Danio rerio: one gene and its partner. The protein of the gene in region 1 purifies or fractionates together with the protein of each later gene. This does not show direct contact. Links are inferred from orthologs where the notes say so. Each region holds a gene or a part of one and is shown on either strand. Other genes may lie near its edges.

What was found.
Region 2: the proteins of etv4 (region 1) and cop1 purify together in Homo sapiens (affinity purification with mass spectrometry; 5 studies listed by BioGRID and IntAct, with this or other methods). This does not show direct contact. The link is inferred for Danio rerio from reciprocal best matches to the Homo sapiens genes ETV4 and COP1.

Annotation. Positions count from the first base shown.
Region 1 is NC_133187.1:29,382,669-29,386,997, reverse strand, and holds the start of etv4 (ETS translocation variant 4), read right to left. Parts: upstream 2,819-4,329; 5' UTR 2,712-2,818; coding exon 2,655-2,711; intron 2,568-2,654; exon of another isoform or gene 2,452-2,567; intron 2,093-2,451; coding exon 2,002-2,092; intron 1,689-2,001; coding exon 1,641-1,688; intron 1-1,640.
Region 2 is NC_133177.1:38,105,134-38,108,966, reverse strand, and holds part of cop1 (E3 ubiquitin-protein ligase COP1), read right to left. Parts: coding exon 3,710-3,833; intron 2,799-3,709; coding exon 2,638-2,798; intron 1-2,637. UniProt on the Homo sapiens protein: E3 ubiquitin-protein ligase that mediates ubiquitination and subsequent proteasomal degradation of target proteins.

The DNA of each region.
Region 1 (4,329 bases):
CGGAAGAAATAAACAGGTTATGATTTACGGGTTTAGTATAATTCTGACTTCAACTGTAACTTATGACTGGGACAGACAGGTGCAACTGCCCTGATATTTGTTGTTTTTGTATAGTTAACATTTGAAAGGGATCAAAAAAAAAAAAAGCAAAATAAGATTAATAGTAATAGCAGATGAGCATGACAGTTTATAGACAACTCTTATTCTGGTTGCACTTTAAAAAGCCCATAAAGAGCATTTATCTTATGACTGGGATCCCAGACAAGAGTAACTGCCCTAATATTTAAAGAAAAAATGGTGTAAAAAAAATGTTGTTTTTATATAGTCAATATTTAAAAGGGATCAAAAAAGTTGTCCTAAGACAAGAATGGGTGCTGTACAATAGTTTGAGGAAAACTTTAATTAAAGAGTCGATCTACTTGAAAGAAGGACAAATCAATCCAATTGATTTTCATGTATACATTAAGAAATTAAACATGCATAATGCAAATATTTTTACAGTTTTATTTAGGGATCCTCCAATCGAACGACCTGAGATTGGTATCAGCCGATAATCACATGTTATGACTCTATTGGTACTCTCATATCTGGCTGATCTCATAAACTGATCACAAGTGTTTGTTTATGGGTTAAGTCGAAGAAGATCATCAGAGCATCAGAATCTGTACTTGGTATCGGCCGATCACCATGACATAGTATCGGTACTCGATATCGGCTCAAATCCTGATGGGAGCATCCCTAGTATTATTGCATTATCTCTTTAATTAATTAATTCCTAAATGTAAGACTGTTAGCTATTTTTTTCAAGATTTTGCTTCTTTCATTTGCCATATGTCATATTCTGTGCATGCAATTACAGCAAGACGGTTTTAATTTATAATAAAGCATAAAATAAAATCATACAAGAGTTTCACTAATATAAACAAAAGTAATGTTGTATATTATTTGTACATGTTTTTTTTTTATAAAACTGCATTTATTTCACCTCGTAATTGTTATCGTAAAATCTGCATAGGGGTTTTGAATGGGACAGATGTATAATTCATTCAGAACAGCGGGGATCCAGCCACCCGGTCTCATTGAGAGCAGCCTTTGTGTTCTCCACACTCTGACATGTACACAGTAAATTGTTTCTGGCAGGGTTCATTTCAACTATTTGCCTCCTGTCTGTCCAGCTTTGATGCTGTTTGTTTGCTTTGCCTGGGTGTACTGGCTTTAAGAGCCATTGTCAGGACTTTCCGAATAAAACGTAACCAGCAACATTGTGCAATCAAGGCAATTTTTTTTTCTGTGCACTTTACAAAAGCAGCACATTTGCAACAATAAGTTTACATGACAATTGTGCTGATGCATGGCTAAATTAATCTTACTGTATGGACTATCACGGCTATTAAAAATATTTTTTTTATTCTCTCTAAACTGAAAACATGAATGATTTGTAACAGCTGTTTGACTTACTCTGCAAATAGGCCACCACAGTCTGAATGTCTTTCTGTTGTTTATGTTTTGTTTTGTAATTCTCACCAAGTATACGCACTTGCTATAGCATGTTTCATGTGATATTTCCTTTCCCACTGCCGCTAGAGGGACATATTTATTGCAATAAAGACACATAATACATGCTTAAAATAGAGGCATACCTTCGGTGAGCCAGGTCTCCTGAAGTTGGCTTAAATCCTGAAAGAGGTCTGAAAAGGAAAATAAATAATTAGTTTGATGACATATTCTTATATATATATATATATATATATATATATATATATATATATATATATATATATATATATATATATATATATATATATATAAAATAATTTTCTTGCTCATTTGTTTATTAAAAAAATAGGTCTTACATGTTGTTTGTTTTTGCTAAATCATGTTATTATAGCGGAACAGTCCACATAAAAAATTTACCTAAAACTGACAATATTAAGCTACTATTGAGCAAGTGTAAATGTAAAATAAAAATATACAATTTTCTAAACTTGCTTGTTATTTTACCTTCAGATTCCTGAGGGGGTAATTCTGCGTCCATGTATTTCCTTTTTGTCGCCATCAACAGTCTATTTAGGGGCCCATTTCCTTGCGACCTCTACAAAACAGAAACTACATTATGTAAGTGAAAATACATACTCATGAAGAAGACTTTAGAATCATGAAGATTGATTTTTATTTTAAAACTCACTCTAAATAACCCAACCATGTAAAATAAACATTAAAAATGTAACTGTTACAATCCACTATGACAAGGTACAAAAATGCAGTGCATTGCGAATTATTTTCACTAAAATATATTATAAGCTGATGCCCATTCACCATCAAAACTGGTTTCAGAGCATTGCCTTTTACATCAGCAAATACTGACAATCCAAGCATCCCGAAAAGGGAAGTTTTGATTTCCTTTCAAGCTCAATTTTCAGAACTGCGTTTAAAGAAAGGATTAAAGTTTACCTTGTAAGCACAGCGTACATCGTAAAGACAAACAGAGTATTTCCTAGGCAAGTTTAACTTTGTCTCAGACCCAAACTGAAAACAGTTTTGATCGCAACGGCGCTTTTGCTTAAAACGAATCACATGCAACGACGACAGAGAAACAGCACAACATCCCCGCGTGAAGCGCAACAAAGCTTTGAAGTGAATAAAGCCATACTCACATTAGCTAAAGTATAAGGCACTTGCTGGTCCAGATATCCATCCATCTTATAATCCATGCCTTAACCGTTTGTGGTCATTTAGGCTGTGTTTTAATGAGCTCCACGCAGACTGAGAGGGGAAGGAAGACGGACAGAGGCAGCAGCAGCAGCGGTAGTTTGTGAATGGAGCGCGAGAAGGCTGCATACGTAATGAGCTCCATTCACAAAAAAACCACCAGCGTGCGTATAAACACACACACTCTAGGCTCTGCTAAATCACTGTTTGGACAGCTCGAGACCTCTTCTTTGCTTCATTTGTGCCAAGAAGCTATTGTCCTGGGAGTTTACTCAGGATTTTGCGGAGAATGACAACTAGCTGATGTATATGCCACGTTCGCTATAAGATTATGGTGGTTTAGTGAAAGGGTCACTGTTCTTTTAGCCAATAAAACGCGATATTGTTGTTATGTATTATATTGAAGTTTTTTTTATAAATATTATACAAAGTATTATAACCTACATTTATTTTTGTATTAGTTTAGTCATGATAAATTTAAATATGTCTGCTTTAACACTTCAATTTTAGCTTAAGTTTAATACCATTTCAAGCATGTTGTTATTTTGGTTTGGATTGTTTGTGTGTAGGGCTATGCGTGGACAAGAGGTTGGTTAATGAAATAATAATAAGCACTTTTCTTAAACTATACTCCTGACTTTAGCTTGCTCTTATTGCTGTTGGATGTTCGCTTAGTTTGGAGGACTTTGATTGGTGGATTTTCTCTTTCAATAGCTCAAGTTTCTTCTCTTTGTCCTTCATTATGAATGAAACCTCTCTGCTCTTTGCAGCCAATCACAATCGAGGTTTAGCAACCGAGGGCGGAGCTGGCGTTCTTTTAGCCAATCGCCGCTTGAGAATCCCAAGGGTTTTCCCTAGTACGTTTCCAGTTGTTTTTCATTCACAAAAAGGGGGAAAGTCGAGGAAGGAAAAATGCCATTCATAAAAACTTGCCCCAGCAGGAATGTTTTATGGTTGTTTTGAGCGTTTGCTCTATTAACAACAGATACAGCTTGCGAAAACATCACGTGGTGGCTGCTGGGTTCTGAACGGGAGTGGATGGTTGCAATATCTGTATATACGTATATAAAGAGTGTACACTGCGCAAACAGCAACACATACTTTCCATTATGAATCGGAAGAACCTGTGCAAAACAATGACGTCCTGTAATACACAGTAAACTGCGTGTATAAACAGCGTAATGGAACTTGAGTTAGGCTACTTACAGTACAGTAGTCTATTAAATTTGGCCATTTCATGCGCTGTGTGCGGACATTTTGGAGCAGCTGCACGGTGAATGTGAACTATAATCACTGTTAGTGCTACTAAAATAACACGGTATTCGCCATCACTTTAATCAAACAGGAAATAAGCTAAGATTATAAGGGTGCCACAAAAAGGATTTAATTAAATTTTTTGCTCCTTGACTAAAAAGAATGGTTTTACTTGTAAAAATGGTTGTTGCTGTTAAAAAAACACACTATTTGTGCTTTTTAACACCAAACATAGATATTTAGTAAAACCTAGGTACATGTAAACAATCAATATTTTGGTTGCTGCACTTTTACTACATGGTTAATTTATGAATGCATACATTATGCGTTTTTTAAGACCCTGCTAATAGGGCTGCAGGATGTTGG
Region 2 (3,833 bases), on another chromosome or scaffold:
TTGTTTGCATGTAATTTATGTAGGGGTGAGAAAGGAAATTAATTATGACCAAGACTCTAAGCTGAAATTTTGTCTGGTCAGCATATTGGTTTAGCGCACAATTATTGAGTTTTCTTTCTATGGGAAAATGTCAAGTATATAAAGCCATGTAATACACAAGGGGATCTGAAAGCTGGGCTAATGTTTACATGGGTGTTTCAGTTGATCAATCAAGCAAAACATGAATCTGCATTTTTTAAAATATCTATTTCTGAGCTGATTAGGTTTGATCACAGTTGTTTACTTGCATGGGTCAATGACAAGCTGTTTCATGTTGGTGTCTGCATCAAATTAAATTTACGAAGGTGACTTTATATACACAGAAAGCATAAAAAAATGGAAGTATGGAATAATTTCTAATAAATTTTATGAAAATATATAATACTGTTTCACATCAATCAGTGTAACAGATTTCATTAATTCATTCATTTTCTTTATGGCTTAGTCCCTTTATTAATCAAGGGTCGCCACAGTGGAATGAACCACCAACTTATCCAGCATATGTTTTACGCAGCGGATGCCCTTCCAACCACAACCCATTACTGGGAAACACCCATACACTCTTGCACACACATACACTACGGCCAATTTAGCTTATTCAATTGACCTATTGCGCATGTCTTTGGACTGTGGGGGAAACCGCAGCACCTGGAGGAAACCAACACAAACGTAGGGAGAACATGCAAACTCCATACAGAAATGCCAACCAACTCAGCCGAAGCTTGAACCAGCGACCCTCTTGCTATGAAGCGATCATGCTACCCACTACACCACAGTGATGCAGCCGTGTAACAGATACTATAATATAATTTAATATAATATAATATAATATAATAAATCTTAGAATATATCAAACAACAGGTGATCAAATATTATCTAAGTGAAACCAACTGGTTTGAAAGATAGGTGTAAAACTACATATACTGTATACATATGACCCACATGTTCCCGAAATAGAATCTTTTAATATGTTATGGAATAATTATATTTTTTAAATATGCCTGGTTCGATTATTGTGCTTTTTTGTGCAAATCTTAATTAATGTGCATTTTCAGTTCTATTGGCTATTATGTGATCTATATTTATACATCTTATATGACAGAATGTTAGAAATTGTGTGAAAAGCACATTTTAAGTCTACCAAGCTGTGCAAGCGCTCCAAATCATCTGGGGATTTCTCAGAGAATGTTGTCAAGGCAACTATCTGATACAAGTTTCAACTGAAGCACTAAACTGGCTAAAACTAAAAAAAAATAATAAAGCTAAATAACATTCAGAATAATATTTTCAAAAACAAATGAAAAAAATCTCAAAAATTAAAATGAGTATTTACAGTATTGAAATGAAAAAGAAAACAAAATAGTAACAAAAAATGATGCTAATAAATTAACATCTATCTATCCATCCATCTATAAGCACGCACACACACACACTAATGTAATATAAATTACGCTATAATGCAGTGAGATTTTGTTTATACTTTTCACATAATGGCAAATATTATGTAGGGATATATTTAGGGAAAATCTATTAAATGCATACAAAATCTAAAAGGTCTTTTATCATGTGAAATGAGGGCTCACAGATTTAATAGGACTGCCTTAAAATTACTAAAGATTTTAGGATAGAAAAGTATTTTACTGCATAACAACGTTCTCATATTCTATAATGCTAATAGATCAATATTATATTGCTATAATGCATCATTTACTATAGCTGAGCTCTGACAAAATGAAAGTGGCCTAAAGAGACACACTTAAATTTTCATATTTTAAGATTTAAATAAAATATCATGTATATAATGTAAGTGTATGGAAAAAAAGTTTCATAGACAAAACTTAAAGGTTAGACCTAAATTGTTTGTGTTGCGTTTTTAAAATACATCACTGAAATTGTTTTGTCTAAAGATGCACAACAGTATTTTTTTTTTATACAAATAAAAATAATGCATTTTTATAAAAGCTGCTTAAACACCCTAATTTAAAGGGATAGTTCACCCAAAAATTTTAATTCTGCCATGATTTACTCATCCTCCACTTGCTTCCAACCCGTTTCTTTCTTCAGTTGGAGACAAAGGAAGATATACTGAAGAATCTTCCATAGCACATTTTGTTCAAACTATAGATGTCAATGGCCTTTTTTCACTCCTGGACATTCTTCAGAATATCTCAATTTGTGTTCAACAGAGGAAAGAAATTCATAAAAGTATGAAGTGTGAGAAAGTAGTGAGGAACAGTCTTTTGACAAAGATCATGTCACTAAGATCATGTCGTGCCCATATAGAGGCTTAAACTGTGCACAAAATTCACAGTGAATTTGCCTCTTTCTAAAAAACATGACTGTTAACTGCAATCCATGCTATTCAGATGGTGAAACAGAGGAGCGTGGGTTTAATAAGCATGGACATCCGAATGCGGATACATACCAAACTTCCCCCAGCCCACTGTCCTACACTACCCTGCTATTACTTGTCCTCATTGTACCACCAAATGCAGCTCCACTGCCCCCATGTGCCCTCATGGCTCTTACTGTTCTGCTGTTGGTTCTAGAAGAGTGATTTATCATGTTGAATGTGAATGAGATAAGACTGAATCATACCCCATCAGGTAGAGCTCGCCAGCACACTGCACTGACAAACTCATTGGTGTCGTCCTCCTTCTTGTCCTTGTCCAGGACGCTCTTCACAGTGTCAAACTTGAATGTCAGCAGCGTCTTGGAAAGGCCTTTGTAGTACAAGTACAGCGAGTTGTTTTCACTACCTGCGGGGTTATAAAATGAGAGCATTTCTACTTGGCCATTGAATTATTCGAAAATAATGCACACCTGAAGTGATGATGCGGCCACAGTGTATAATTTCTGTAAAAAAACTACACATTTTTAACTGTTTACTGGCCAATCAGATTAAAGCACTAACTTACAGTAGTGAAAGTAAGAAAAAAATCTTTTCAGATGTTGAATAATTAAAAAAATACTGCACACCCAAGGTGGCAATGCCATTATCTTTGAATTTAACAAACCAGTGTCAATTATTGTATGTTACGATTATCAGAGCTGAAGACTGCATCATCACAGGTTTTTGACAGTTCTTAACTATGAAACAACTGAAATCATGTGGTTATGTGGAACTGTAATGTGTTTGAGACCTGCCTGGAACTACTTTAACTGTGAATTTATCAAACAATTATTTGCTTGTTACTTCAACACAGAAAACTTCAACAAATGCTAATAAAACTAAATGTCTGAGTCTAAATGTCTATTAAATTTTTTTTATTCAACTTAAAATCAGACGGCCAGAGACTGAGATTAATTTTTTTATAATTCATTACAATATTGGTGGAATTTTTTAAAATAATAATAATAATAACAATATACAGTCAAATTATTCATACCCCTGGCAAATTCTGACTTAGGTACTTTTATTCAACCAGCAATTAAATTTTTTTGACCAGGAATAACACAAGCTTCTTCTAAAAGATAATAAGACTGTGTACAAGATGCATTATTGTGGCTTTTATAAACATTTGAACAAAAACTTTGTGAGAATTTGCCAGGGGTTTGAATAATTCCAGCCTTGACTTTATATATCGCATTATCATAGCTTTGATTATAAACCAAAATGCCAAAAGCAAACCTTTCTGTTGTTTAATTAATGTCATATCATGCCACTCACCACATGCTACATAGTCTCCATTTGATGCCAAACCCACAAAGTTCTTCTCATTGATGTGGCCTTTGAAAGAGCGTAAACAATGAGGCTTGTTCACGTTCCAGAGTTTCAGCTGGCTGTCTGTTGA